Caenorhabditis elegans: one gene and its partners. The protein of the gene in region 1 purifies or fractionates together with the protein of each later gene. This does not show direct contact. Each region holds a gene or a part of one and is shown in the gene's direction. Other genes may lie near its edges.

What was found. Proteins that work in one complex are often made in the same cells at the same time.
Region 2: the proteins of sre-33 (region 1) and F33H2.3 fractionate together in Caenorhabditis elegans (co-fractionation; one large-scale study listed by BioGRID). This does not show direct contact.
Region 3: the proteins of sre-33 (region 1) and nsun-1 fractionate together in Caenorhabditis elegans (co-fractionation; one large-scale study listed by BioGRID). This does not show direct contact.

The regions. Positions count from the first base shown.
Region 1 is NC_003280.10:12,451,638-12,455,238, forward strand, and holds sre-33 (Serpentine receptor class epsilon-33), read left to right. Parts: upstream 1-1,664; 5' UTR 1,665-1,787; coding exon 1,788-2,257; intron 2,258-2,299; coding exon 2,300-2,456; intron 2,457-2,501; coding exon 2,502-2,624; intron 2,625-2,680; coding exon 2,681-2,805; intron 2,806-2,851; coding exon 2,852-3,056; downstream 3,057-3,601. Other genes in the region: sre-35 (Serpentine Receptor, class E (Epsilon)), read right to left, coding at 1-154, 201-325, 371-493, 543-699, 745-1,217; sre-32 (Serpentine receptor class epsilon-32), read right to left, coding at 3,347-3,554.
Region 2 is NC_003279.8:15,032,755-15,035,976, forward strand, and holds F33H2.3 (Acidic leucine-rich nuclear phosphoprotein 32-related protein 1), read left to right. Parts: upstream 1-1,760; 5' UTR 1,761-1,777; coding exon 1,778-2,374; intron 2,375-2,429; coding exon 2,430-2,522; 3' UTR 2,523-2,713; downstream 2,714-3,222. Other genes in the region: F33H2.8 (TPT domain-containing protein), read right to left, coding at 1-75, 178-285.
Region 3 is NC_003280.10:470,753-477,887, reverse strand, and holds nsun-1 (26S rRNA (cytosine-C(5))-methyltransferase nsun-1), read left to right. Parts: upstream 1-1,947; 5' UTR 1,948-1,952; coding exon 1,953-2,045; exon of another isoform or gene 2,046-2,091; coding exon 2,092-2,287; exon of another isoform or gene 2,288-2,333; coding exon 2,334-2,769; exon of another isoform or gene 2,770-3,448; coding exon 3,449-3,740; exon of another isoform or gene 3,741-3,937; coding exon 3,938-4,214; exon of another isoform or gene 4,215-4,385; intron 4,386-4,604; coding exon 4,605-4,873; intron 4,874-5,613; coding exon 5,614-5,812; intron 5,813-6,022; coding exon 6,023-6,126; intron 6,127-6,289; coding exon 6,290-6,418; 3' UTR 6,419-6,626; downstream 6,627-7,135. Other genes in the region: W07E6.5 (G_PROTEIN_RECEP_F2_4 domain-containing protein), read right to left, coding at 93-162, 256-328, 378-509, 637-732, 775-811. UniProt on the Caenorhabditis elegans protein: Methyltransferase which methylates the carbon-5 position of cytosine 2982 to 5-methylcytosine (m5C2982) in 26S rRNA. May play a role in the translation of leucine and proline codons.

The DNA.
Region 1 (3,601 bases):
TATATCCAATTTCTTCCTCTGGCATTCTACAGTTTCCATAGGCAGAATTTGTTGGTTAAATTTCAGGCAGTTGAAGCTCAAATATGACTTTACAAATTGTTTCCTCCACTGCGGAACGAATAATATTGCAGTCAGTCCGATAGGTAGCGGATTTCTGGAAACACTCAGTTCATAAACTAACGATTATAAAAAAAACTCACAAAAATAGTAGATTTTCAACAAAATGACAAAAAATTGGGGGAATGATTTCATAGTTGAGAGCAGCGATTCCAATGCCATAGAGAGCAATGCAACTGAGCACAGTTATCACAAGACGGTAGCCAAGCTGAAATTTATTTTCTTATCGTTTAGACTCAAGCATATAGGTTACTCGAATTGCCCTTAAATTCTCCTTAACTTGAAATTGCTGGGAAATTGTGAAATGTCGTTTTCTAACCGGGTTCTTGATTTCCCGCTGGAAGGATTCGTTCAACAGTTTTAGGAAGACACACGCCTAAAAAGAAAATGTCAAGTTATTGTAAAAACTCTTTAAAAAAACCAACCATCAAAGACAGGACACAACTAATAATCCATGGAAGTTGAGCGTCGCAAGGGTGAATTTTGTGGAAGAGTAGCGCAAAAGATACAGACACCGATAGGAATTGACTTGTGACGACTAGAATTGCGGGAATTAACAGTCGAGTGTTAGACTCATAGTTACTGCAAAAAATTGTTCCTGGCAATTCCTGACGCCCCGCTACTTACTCTATCAAAACCGAAGCAATTGTCCGTTCCACCACCATTGCCAACACCACAAAAATAAAGGAATACATGTAATACCATTGAAGAAATCCTGAAAGCAGAATAAGCTCAAGTCCATTCAAATTATTGACATTGAGCATTTTTCCAATATCATCTGTCCAGATGTCCGTGTGCTCTCCAATCGGAATATCAATTTTTAGAAAGTCCAGCCGATAGGCAATTATGATAAGTTTACCGGCGATTAGTACATACCAGAGAAAGAAAACCGGGATTGACAAAATGTAAAGGTTTCTGTGAAAAAGGCGAATTTTCAGCGTAACATGTACGTATGCATTGACAGCTTGGCTGCACAAAATGTAGAGAGCTATTTCAACAATTGAGATTATCACTTGCTGATTAAAAGGCTCATCGTAGAAATAGATGGGTAACCAGTATAAGGAAGAACTTGTTGAATTTGCAATGTATCTGATGATCATTGCAGACGGAAGGAGAGCAAATCGAAGAAAAATTAGGAAAAAGTCTTAGTTCAGATGCAATAAATCACCTGCTCTTATTCGTCTAAGGTTACGGTTTGCTTACGCATGTGCAGCTGAAATAGTTGGCTTTTAACGCTGAAGCAACTGAGAACGATTCAGTTTATTTGGACGGAAACAGAATTAAAAATTGAAAACATGAAAGGAAGGCAAAAATCTAGATAAGTTTATACTAATTGGAATTCTGACAAGGTCTGAAAATTTAGTGGAGAAGAACTGGCCGTAAACGGGCAATTAACGGAGGTTATTGGATTCGGCCGACATTGGTGAAGTTGGAAATTCTTGAAAAAAAAAATTACGGGAAACAAATTATTATAATTTGAAAAATTCAAGTTTTTCCGAAGCAAGATTTACCTGCGGAGTTCAAGGGGTGCTTCCAAGAACAACTTCACTTTGCTTCTGATTCAGCGACATGATCCTGGCGCCGAAAACTGATCGACAGGTGCTTTAGACATTTGCTTATATTGATTTCAGTTTTAGTACAACTTATGTGTTGAGCTAGCTCTTTTTATCATGATAATAAATTCTAATTCATCAACCATTTTCTCATCTATATGGCTTCCAGTATTCTTTTACGTTGAGCCGTTAGATCAACAAGTTATCATATCAATACTGGAACTTATGATCTACCTTGTCTGCATTCACCTGGTAAACGTGAGCCTCCATGTTGCTCTGAAAATTCGTCTGTTTCACCGTAACCTCTATATTTTGGCGCTTCCCATGTTTGGCATGTGGTATGAGCTTATCATTGGGAAGTTTATCACTATAGCCTATCGGCTGAAACTTCTGGGCCTAGACTTTGAGCTCGGCGAGCACACCGCGATCTGGACGAATGATCCCGGAAAAGTTTTATTGGTGGCGTCACTGAACGGCTTGGAACTATTGATTTTTGGTGGATTTCTGCAGTGGCATTATATGTATTCTTGGATTTTTGGTGTGCTTACAGTTGCGGTAGAGCGGGTGATTGCTTCAGTGTTAATAGAGTAAGTCGAGAGACATTGGAGGACGTTCATTAAGTTTTTCAGAAACTATGAATCCAACACCCAAAACCTAATGCCAGCAATTCTCCTTATTATCAGCCAATTTTTATCAATCTCCATGGCTTTTGGTCTTCTGTTTCAAAAGGTCGGACCACTTTCTGCTCATTTCCCCTGGATGATAAGCTGCCCGATTTCAGTGGCTGTGAGCAAGATTTTAGAAAAATTTTCCAACATGAAACTTGTTCAGGCATATGTGTTCGTGAAAAAAGTCAATGAATCGTTCCGACGGGAGATTAAGAATCCGGGTAGGAAGCGAATTTTCACACTTTCCCAGCAGTTTCAAGTCAAGGAGAATCTAAGAGTGTTACATGTGAGTTGACGGGTGTCATCCTGCACAATCAAATTTTGAAATTTCTAAATTTCCAGCTTGGTACCCGCTTGGTCTTTGCCGTCCTATCTTTTATCGGAATTTGTGGGTGTGGAATCGCGGCGCTCCACTACAAAATTGTACCGTCCTACTATTGCCATCTCATCGAAAATGTGCTCTTTTTGTGAGCTGTGATCTTGAAGCTCCCCAACTTAATTTACTATTTTTAGAAACCCATTTCTCATTGGCTTAACCGCAATGTTGAGCATTCCGCAGTGGAAAGAGCAATTTATGAAGTCATTTTTGACGGTACGGTTGTTCAGAAATAGACGAAAACCTGTGCATATTGTCGTGGAAATTGAGGAGTGTGCGAAAAAGAAGAACGATGTGGAGACTAATTTATATTTTAAGCAATTGGCGAATTCTTGGATTTGAATTATTTTTTTTTTGTTGGAACATTTGTATTTTTGAAGAATTAATAAATACACGTGGTGTCAGGCTGCCGCATTACAGCTTGATCTACAAAAAATGCGGGAATATTTTTCCAGAAAAATTGTGACGTCAGCACGCTCTTAACCATGCAAAATCAGATGAGATGTCTGCTTCTCAACTTCCGCATTTTTTGAAGAGCAAAAATATCGAAGTCCACATGTTCAATGGAGCGCACTTACATTACAAATAAAACAAGCATGAGCAAAATTATTGTATTCAAATAAAAAAAAGTTTCATATCCATGATTCATTAAGCTGTCTGAAGTACAAATCCGTCTCCGCTTCCAACTTTTTCGTAGTAGAAATCTCCACAGAAGTCGTAGACGTCTTCGGTTTTGTCCACGCGGACTTCACGAGCCGCCAGGTGAAACACGCGTTTTGGAAGTGCTTCCGCCAGTGTGGAATTGTGAGCATTGCGGTGAAGCATATTGGGTAGGGATTTCTGGAAATTATAACGTCACGGGCCGAAATTCGGAGGGAGCCCACTTA
Region 2 (3,222 bases), on another chromosome or scaffold:
AAATAGTACATTATGAGCCGCCGAGAGCACAAATGCCGATGCAAGTTCAAGGAGAAAGTAGTAACCAGCTTCTGACTGTAAATTATTTTATTTTTTGAAGCAAAATAGTGAGTTATTTTTTTGGATTAAAAATCTTGTTTTTAAATCGAAAATCAATACAATTAAAAAAAATCAAACCTTTGAAACCTCCTTTTTCTCAGCTGACATTTTGGTAGCAAACTCAGTGAAATCTATGTGGAATACTGCAGGGATATGTTCGTTTCGTTTCACAGAGAAGAGGCGCATCGAACAATTTGGGGCATCTTGATGAGATTTTATCGAATTCTCGGAGGTGTGTAGTAGGTTTTATGGATTTCAGAGTGGATTTCAGAGTGAAGTCATTGAACTTTCTGGGAAACATCTGGGAAACAATATCCGACAAAAGCTCAAAAACGCATAGAAGATTTAGTTTTAATTTGATTGATCCCAATTAGTTCACTTTATGTATTTTTTCACACAGAAAAATACAATTTTCGCTCATTTTTTTGTGAAAAAAATACAAATTTCTATTCAATAATCATATTGTTCAATATATGTTCTATATATGTTCTATAATTTTTCCTTTCGCCAGCTCACTTTCCAGAGAAGCTCTCGATCCGCCCTCGATCCGCCCCTAAACCTGCCCAGCGGAGTAGCATATGAGACTTATGCCGTTTGATGAACCATGTTTAGAAACGGTTATCCGTAAACTTTTAGCTGCAAGTCTCCATAATCAAGCTCACGACATGCTCTTAAAGACATCTAAAACAACACTGTAACGTAGCACTTAGGGATCAATATTCACTTCGGAAACTCATGTCTCCGCGGATTTTGATGGAAAAGTTATCAACTTTACACGTTTGGAGTTGAAAGTTTTTTATCAAAAAAATCTTTGTTTGAGATTAAAGCATGTGAAGTGCGGTAAATGTTATTGTTAAATATGTTAATGCTGTTGATGCAATTTTTATGCTTATATCTGGAAAATTTTGAAAATTGACCCATTACAAAGGAAGTAGATGAAATTAATCTCAGACTTTGACATGACATGGTATTTTTCCGATCAAATAGTATTATCCATACCAAAATCAGAGATTGAGTTCGTCTACTTCCCTTGTTAGTGTTTGCAGTTACATTGTTGTTTTCGCTTTCTTTGAGCGTACGCCGTGAACTTGGTTCTGAAGATTCGCCGCTAAAAATTTTCAAATCACCGTTTCTAAACATGGTCTATCGACTGACATAAGTCTCTTATGCTATTCCTCTGAGCACCTTCACATGTTCCCCTCGTCAGTGGTGTACAAACGCGCTCCACTGCTAATGCATTTGATTCTCAGCGCGCGCAACCAAATTTGTTTTTCGCGCGCTCTCCTCCTAATTTAGGCCTTTTTTCTTGGCAGTGTATCGATTTTGTTCGTTCGTTGAGCGTTGCGCGTTCATTGTCATTATAGAATCGTATATAAAGCGAATAGAATCAGTCTATTCGCTTGGAATTTTTAACATAGCCTTCCAAAATTTGCTGCACCATCGTTTCATTGATTTTATCCGTGTTTCTTGAGTCATTCGTGCGTGATGTAAGAAACTGGACTCTAAATGGACTAAGCATTTTTATACTGATTGTGACCGTCTAAATAGCTTTTTTTATTCGACTTGTTTCCAATTCGGAAAGAAACTCCATTTTCTGTTCGATTTTTTAATTTTCTCTCTTGTCTCTTACATCTCAACTTTATTTTAATGCCTCTACCTTCAGACTACATCCTCAATCATGCCGTCTATGGCCGAAATCTACGTCAAAGAGCTCAGAGAGAGGGATCCAGCTACTGTCGATACTCTATTCCTCGACAACGCTGAAGATGGACAAATCGGAGGACTCACCGACCAGCTTATCAACTTGGAGATGCTCAGCATGGTGAAGTGCGGACTCACCACACTCGCCGGGTTCCCAACTCTTCCAGCTCTTACCTATTTGGATATCAGTGACAATCAGCTTGGAGACAACGCTTCGTTTGATGTTCTTGTGAAAAATGCTCCAGATCTTAAGAAGATCACACTCGCCAGCAACAAGCTCTCTTTGGATAATCTCCGGTGCTTAAAGGTTCTTCCAAATCTTTTCGAGCTCGACTTGTCGAATAATCCAAGTCTCGGACTCCTCGAGGACTATCGTGAGAAGATGTTCGAGATGATTCCATCGCTGAAGATTCTTGATGGATGCGATGTTGATGGAGAGGAAGTTGAGGAGGAGTTTGCCGGTGAGGGAGGAGAAGACAGCGAGGAGGGAAGCGGCGATGAAGATGGACCCGGACTCAGCTATCTCGAGAAGAGCCAGTTCTCCGACGACGAGACTGACGATTATGCTCCAGAGGTTAGTTTTCGGACTCATATTTCAGAAACGTATGTTCTTAATTTCAATTTTTCAGGGAGGAGACGCTGAACCACGTGGGACAAAACGTGGAGCTTCTGATAACGGAGAAGAGCCAGACAACAAGAAGGCAGCTGGCGACGACGAGTAAACTTCGACGCCTACGGACTCATCATCTCAACCTAATATATTTATTTCAAATATTTTTTCCAAAAAAACTTCCCTCATTTTCTTTATGGCTGCGCTGTACACTAAACCCCAACTTTAATGATCTGAAAAACTGAACCCAAACCACCAGACACTGCAACAACTTTTTGATGAATAAAAAATCTTTAACATTAATCTATCGTTTTATTTTCTTTTGTGGCTTTTGTGTGCATTCTATACCATATTATATTACTGAAACACTGAATTCTGAGAATGCGTATTGCGCAACATATGTATATCTTGCAGCGAAAACTACAGTAATTCTTTAAATAACTACTGTAGCGCTGATCAGATTTTACGTTGTTTATTTTCTAATTTTTTGATGAAAACTATAAAAAAGGCATCGAATTGACAAAAAACACGAAAAATTAGAGGAAAATTAAACATCGCCTGCCACAATCCTAAAAACAATTTGTTTCGAAAGTATCAGCTACAGTAGTCATTTAAAGAATTATTGTAGTTTTCACTACGAGATATTTTACGCGTCATATATGTTGCGCAATACGCTATTAATACGGATTCTCAGAATTTATTGTTCCCGTAATAGTTCTGCCTGTGTGTAGCGCAAACTTCAAAAGTCAATAAACTCGAAATTTGAAAAATTGCCAAAAACGAGACTCCGAAATAACGGGCGCGCGTGTTGT
Region 3 (7,135 bases), about 12 Mb from region 1:
AAAGTTAAATTTCCTAAAGCGGGAGAATGAGCATGAAAACGCACTTTATTCACATACATTTCAATACAAAAAATACATTTCTTTTTAAAATTCTAGTTCAATTCAATGGCAGGTGGGGCAGTCTGATTTTGTGTGGGATTTGATGGTACGTTAGAAATCAATCTGAAATGTAAAAAATAAGAGTTTGGCTTTCGCAGTCCATATTCTTTGAATATGAAGAATTTCTTAAACTGTTACAAATGAAAAATGACTTACATTACTTTATTGAGCGAGTTTTTTAAGAAACCGAATCGGACAACGGAGAATTGTAACGAAAACGCGAGTTGGGCTGAAGAAGAAATTTTGTTGTATTTTTCATGAAAAATATATCAACATACGAGACACGATTGTACTAACGTGTACATATATTCCGAGAAAAGAAGGTGCCCATAGAAATAACGCGCAAACAATCCACAAAATGAGAAGAACCCATAATTCACTGTTTGAATAATGTTTTGGAGAATGACATTCTGAAAATTTTGAGATAGCTATCCTAAGTAACATCGCAAAACTGGTCAAAAGGTTATAATCTGCGGAATATAGGTAATAGTTTTCCTCATTGTATTTCTTGGTCAAAATAAGTAACTAGAAACTAACTCAGCGAGAAAAACGATGTCGACGCAACAAAAGAGAATATTGAGAGTGAGCAGAAATTGAACACCCTTTTCTGGTAATCATCCCATTTCGGTTCTCCTGCAAAATAGCTTAAAATACAGTTTTAACTTTAATTTTTACCTTTTATCAGCGTGACGGAAGCTAATAAAATTAACATCCACGGAATGAATGCGAGTTCCAGCGAAAACTTTTTCACAAATTGAGCAGCAACTCTAAAAATTATATTTCCAAAAATAGAGCAGAAAATTGCAGATTTTTAAAATTTAGAAATAAATTCCAATTGTACTCGTTTCACTCACTTTTGTTTTAATAATTGGTGCGTTAGCTTCAGCTTTTTTTTCTTTTTAATACAGGCGGTATAGCGAAGATAACAGGAAGACCGCCACTATGGTCGTAACAATAATTGTCCCTGCAGCAACAATTTTCAATCTGAACAACCAATCCTTGATAAGCAGTCCCCAAACTAATTCGTCTTTCAATGTCTTTGCATCCTCTGTACAAATTACTGAAATAGCCAGAACACAGAGAAGGAGTTGGCTTAGATATCCAAACAAGGCTAGAACAGAAGCAATTGCCAGTTTGAATGCCTCGACTCTGAAATATTACAATAAAATAATTTACTATTCGGGCGTTGTTTCTCGAATCGCAAAAATGTTTGACGCTTGGCAACGACGGACATTGCCAAACGCTGATATTTTTGGCAATTGTCAAAATTGCCGAGCATAAAGTTAATTGACATATATTCACACTCTTTTTCTTTCAAAAACTTCCCTACCAATACATTTTGGCATGTCAGCGTTGTTCGAGCTCCAAATACGTGTTATATTGTTAACGCATATTTTTTGACTTCTGTAACTGTGGATTCTGCATTTCCTGCATCTGTTTTGGCTATTGTCGGCGCTGTTTCTTCTTTAGTCACGACGAGTGGCAATTCCTTCTTCGACGTGAAGCCGCCATCAGCCTTTGAGGCATCAGCCAGAGTTCGCGGTCTAGAAACCCCCACACGGCCATCGTCGGCAAGCGCGCTCTACCGCACGCCTGTGCAATTTTCAATGCAATTTCTTTCGAATTTAGGCGATCGATTTTTCGGCTTTTCCGTTGCTTTTCGTCAGTTTTTTGTGGTGTTTTATTTTGAAAATATGTGAAAAATTAAATTTTGAAGTTAAAACTTGCATAAAACCAGTAAAACATTGTAAAAATCAGTCTCAAGCGGAGGAATTGGGGTTTTCACTTTTCTCGCCATTCTGTCACTATTTTCTGCGTTTTTTTCAAACTTTAAGAAGTATTTTTCAGGTAAAATGGCAATTGTCAAGAAGAAGAAGGTGTCCGCTGCCTCAAAAGCTGCTACAGAGAAGCCAGAAGTTAAGAAAGCCGTTAAAAGACCTGTTGCAGTGAGTTTTTGCACTAAACATTCACGACGAAGCTCCAATTTTTTAGGAAACCGAGGCAGTGACTCCAAAGAAGAAGAAGCTAGTGAAAAAGGTGAAGAAATCGGCGAAAAAGGCTCATGAGGAGGAACCAATCGAGCAGGTCGAGAAGCTGCAGCTTATCGACGATGACGAGGACGGCCTGGAAGGTCTCAGCTTCCCAGGAAGTGACGATGAAGATCTCAGAGATGACTATTCCGATGATGGTATGGGGGAACATCTGAAAACCCTGAAATTAAAATTTTTTTCCAGATTCCGACGCCGGAGATCATCTGCCAATCGAGAAAAAATCCGCGGCTCTCGACAAGCAGAAGGAGAAGATTATCGCTGAAGGAGAGGAAGAGTTGCAGCTAAACATCGCAAATCAAGCGACTTTCGAGCTTCCAACCGTCGAGGAGATTGAAAATGAGATGAAATCCGTGCCAAACTTGGAAATTGTGAAGCAGCGTATTGCCGACGTCATCCAGGTTCTTGGAGACTTCAAGAATCGCCGAGATCCACAGAAATCGCGTGAAAACTATGTAGAAGTGCTGAAGAAGGATCTATGCTCACAGTATGGATACAATGACTATTTAATGGGAAAATTCATGGATTTATTCCCAAATGGAGCGGAGCTATTGGAGTTTTTGGAGGCTAACGACAATCCGAGACCAGTAACCATTAGAGCCAACTCGCTCAAGGTTAAACGGTAAAATTTGGAGGTTTTTGGATTTCTCGGCATAAATAGTCACATAAAATTGAAGTTTTGGACATAAAAAATAATGCAAAGCTATTCAATTTTGAAGATTTTCAGCTAAAAATTATTTTCCGCGATTTTCAACTGGAAAGTGATAAAATTTCCATGTCCTCATCTTGAAAAATAGTATTGATCAGATTGGGTCTGCTAGACTACAAACTACAAATTTCGATTTAGCAGACCCAAGTGATTTTGAATAAATTGGGTCTGCTAGACTACAAACTACAAATTTCGATTTAGCAGACCCACGTGATTGTGAATAGATTGGGTCTGCTAGACTACAAACTACAAATTCCGATTTAGCAGACCCACGTGATTTTGAATAGATTGGGTCTGAAATTCGGTCTGTTAGACTAATTTAGACTTAAAAGTGCTGATTTTTCACGAATTTCAACTCAAAATTGCCCACTGTCTTTAGTTCTGATCTAAAACAGCTCATTTTCCATAATTTTGGTCCCAAAATCGCCAGTTTTCACTATTGTATTATTTAAAATCGTTTAATTTCTACTCATTTGGACTAAAAACTGGTCTTTTTTATTACTTTTGAACTAAAAATTACTCGTTTTTCACCAATTTGTTGTCAAAATCGCTCAATTTTCATATTTTTAAGCTAACAATTTCCATTTTTCAGTCGTGACCTCGCTAAGAACCTCATCAACCGTGGAATGAACGTGGATCCAGCCGCCGATTGGACTAAAGTTGGACTCGTTGTCTATGATTCTCAGGTCCCAGTTGGAGCAACTCCCGAATACTTGGCCGGACATTATATGATTCAAGGACTCAATTCACTGCTGCCAGTGATGGCCTTGGCTCCACAACCAGGAGATCGTGTATTGGATATGTGTTCTGCTCCTGGAGGAAAAACCAGTCATATTGCTGCTCTTATGAAGAATAGCGGAGTTTTGTTCGCTAACGACGCGAATGTACGTGAAAAATTGATGAAAATAGATAAGGCTGAAATATTACAATTTTCAATCTAAAAAGTAGAAAATTTGACATTTTCGAACGAAAAACTATCAAAAGTTGCCTGGTTTTCATTGGGAAATTCCTAAAAATTCAATTTTCATCCGAAAAAAATTGATTTTTCATCAAAAATCTCCCGAAAACTTTATTTTTCCAGTTCACCCGTTGCCGTGCTATCATTGGAAATCTCCATCGCCTCGGAGTCAACAATACCGTCGTTTGTAATCTGGGAGGAGAAGAGTTCTCGAAAATCCGTCCGAATGGTTTTGATCGTATTCTTTTGGATGCACCATGCTCTGGAACTGGAGTTATTTGGAAGGATCAATCGGTTAAAACATCCAAAGATTCACAGGATGTTCAGAGACGTCATACTATGCAAAGACAGCTGATTCTCTCTGCTTTGGACTCGTTGGACGCTAATTCTCCGAATGGAGGTGCGGAAATTTGCAAAAATCACGAAAATAGGACCCAGAATAGCGAAAAAGCGTCCAAGATTGAAATTGTTTTTCTAAAAGCCACATTTTTTCTCTAGAAACCGAGAAATTCTCAATTTTTGCACTAAAAACTATTTCAATGTGCAATTTCTCCTGAAAATGATAAAATTGCGGGAAAATCTACAGAACAAAAACTATAAAAATCGGCTCTGGAATAGCGAAATAACGTTGAAATCGAACATTTCTTGATTTTTGCACTAAACTTATCGAATTTTTCAATGTTTTTGTGATTTATATTTTAAAAACTGAAAAATCGCTCTCAAAGAGCATAATTTTGCTCCGAAAATATTGAAAACCCCCGTTTTTCCAATTTTAAATCTAATTTTCCAGGATATCTCGTGTACTCCACGTGCTCTGTACTCGTCGAGGAAAACGAAGCCGTCGTCAATTTCCTTCTGGAACGTCGTCACTGTGAACTTGTTCCAACTGGATTATCGATTGGTGTGGATGGATATACACGATTCCGTGATTATCGTTTCCATCCGTCACTTTCAATGACTAAACGCTATTATCCACATGTTCATAATATTGATGGATTCTACGTGGCAAAGATCAAGAAGTTGTCTAATGCGAAAATGAGCAAGCAGGGTGTCATGGAGGTAAAAAAATGCGGAGAAAATTGGAAAAATTGACGGAAAATCCATTAAAAATGAAGAAAATCCCGAAAAAACTACCAAAAATTGGTCTGCTAGACTACAAACTACAAGTTTTGGTTTAGCAGACCCAAAGTTTTTGGTCTGCTAGACTACAAACTACAAGTTTTGGTTTAGCAGACCCAAAGTTTTTGGTCTGCTAGACTACAAACTACAAATTTCGATTTAGCAGACCAAAGTGGTTTTGATGAAATTTGGTCCGCAAGACTAATTTAAGCTTAAAATTTCTCAATTTTTACAAATTTCAACTCAAAATTGCCCATTTTCCAGAATTCCTAATCGAAAATAGCTTATTTTCCACTATTTTTGTCTCAAAATCGTCAAATTTCACGATTTTGATGTAAAATTACCACTTTTTCTCCAATTTTTGATCAAAATCGCTCAATTTTCATGAATTTACTGTTAAAATGTCCCATTTCTCAGCCCTAAACTCAATTTTTCTGCGTTTTTTTTTTTCATCGAAACTATCGAAAATTTAACCTTTTTACATTAGAAAAGCTGAAAAATTTACAATTTTCGTGTGGAAAAATCACTAAAAATTAATTAAATCCTGAATTTTAACAAATTTTATCAGAAAATGAATTATTTTGATGTAAGAATCTTCTTAAATCACGGAGCTTCGACAAAATTCTGTGTTTTCGTGAAATTTCCAAGATATTAGCCCCTAATTTATGTCAGTTTTTCAGAAAGAAAAGGAAAAGGCCGCCCAAAAATCGCAGAACAAGAAGAATAAGGCTGAAGCTGAGGCTTCTGAGTCTTCAGATGATGAAGAGGAGAAGAAGAATGGTGTAGAGGTTAATGGACAGAAGAAGCCAGCGAAAAAGCAGCAGCAAAAGAAGCAAAAAGCCGATGGTGATGACTCGGATGATGATAATAATGCTCCAAGTGCGTAGAAATTTGAGGAAATTAGCTGAAAATCTGCTTTTTTTGAGCCAAAATTATGAAAAACTGAAGAAAATTTACCAGAAATTGCTAATATTTTAAATCAGAAGCTAAAAATAACTCAAAATTATATTTTCCAATGTTTTTACTGGAAAAAATGGAAAAAATAGCAATTTTCTTACTTAAAAACCATCAAAATCCTCCATTTTTCAGTGAAAAACATTGGCTCCGGAGCTCGTGCGAACAAGAAGCGTCGTAATCAGAAGAAGGCAGCCGAGAAGCAGGCCGCTGTCAAGGAGGATGACGGTTTCAATACGGTACGGACTAGATTTCAGAAAAATCAGTTTTTGAGGCTTTTTTCAGCCGAAAAAACCCAAAAATTCGTAGATTTTACTTTTAAAATCCTAAATTCGAGCCATTTTCTCACTGAAAAGCTTTAAAAAATGCCAAATTTCCATATAAAAATATTATTTTTTGCAGGTTGGAAACGTGAAACGCGCCAAAAAACCGACCCAATTCAAGTCAAAAGTGCCAAAACGTGCGGCCGCCCGTACCGGAGCAAAATCGGTGAAAAATCGTCGAAAGAAGATGTTGGCCAAGCAACAATAGGCTCATTTTCCTCAAAATTTGGCTTTTTTTTTTAATTTTTCGACGAAAAATATCCAAATTCGCCTGAAATTCACCAATTTTTCGTTGATTTTATTCTATTTTTTGCCCCTTTTTTGTTGTTTTTACATTGTTTTTCGTTATTTTTTTTGTTCCAATTATTCCCATCATTGTTAAACTTTTTTATATATCCGTCGTTTTTATTCCAAAAAAAAAATAATTTTTTTGATTTTTTTTTTTGCTTTGAAATTTGAGCTTTTCATTGGTTTTTAAGCCTGAATTTTATTTTTTTTTTTTGTAAAAATTTGCTGGAAACTGGCAAATTCTCATTTCAGGGAAAAAAATCGGAAAAATTGACTTTTTCAAACCGAAAACGCGAATTTTTCTGTTTCAAAACTCATTTCAATCCGGTTAACGGCAAAAAATTATGTGCAAAAGCTGAAAATTTGCCGTTTTTGCACAGAAAATCCAAATTTTGCTCTTTTCAATCTCAAAAAACATTAAAAATTTCAAAAACAATCAGTTTTTGACCAAATTTCCACGATTTTCAGTCTCTGAAATCTCAAAATTCACGTTTTCTTCACTAAAAATCCGCTAAAATCGCCTAAATTTCAGTAAAAATGGTACTGGTTCGTGACGAAAATTTTTCTGGAAACCGGCAAATTCTTATTTTTGGAGAAACATTATCTGAAAAATGGACATTTTTAACCTAAAAAGCGA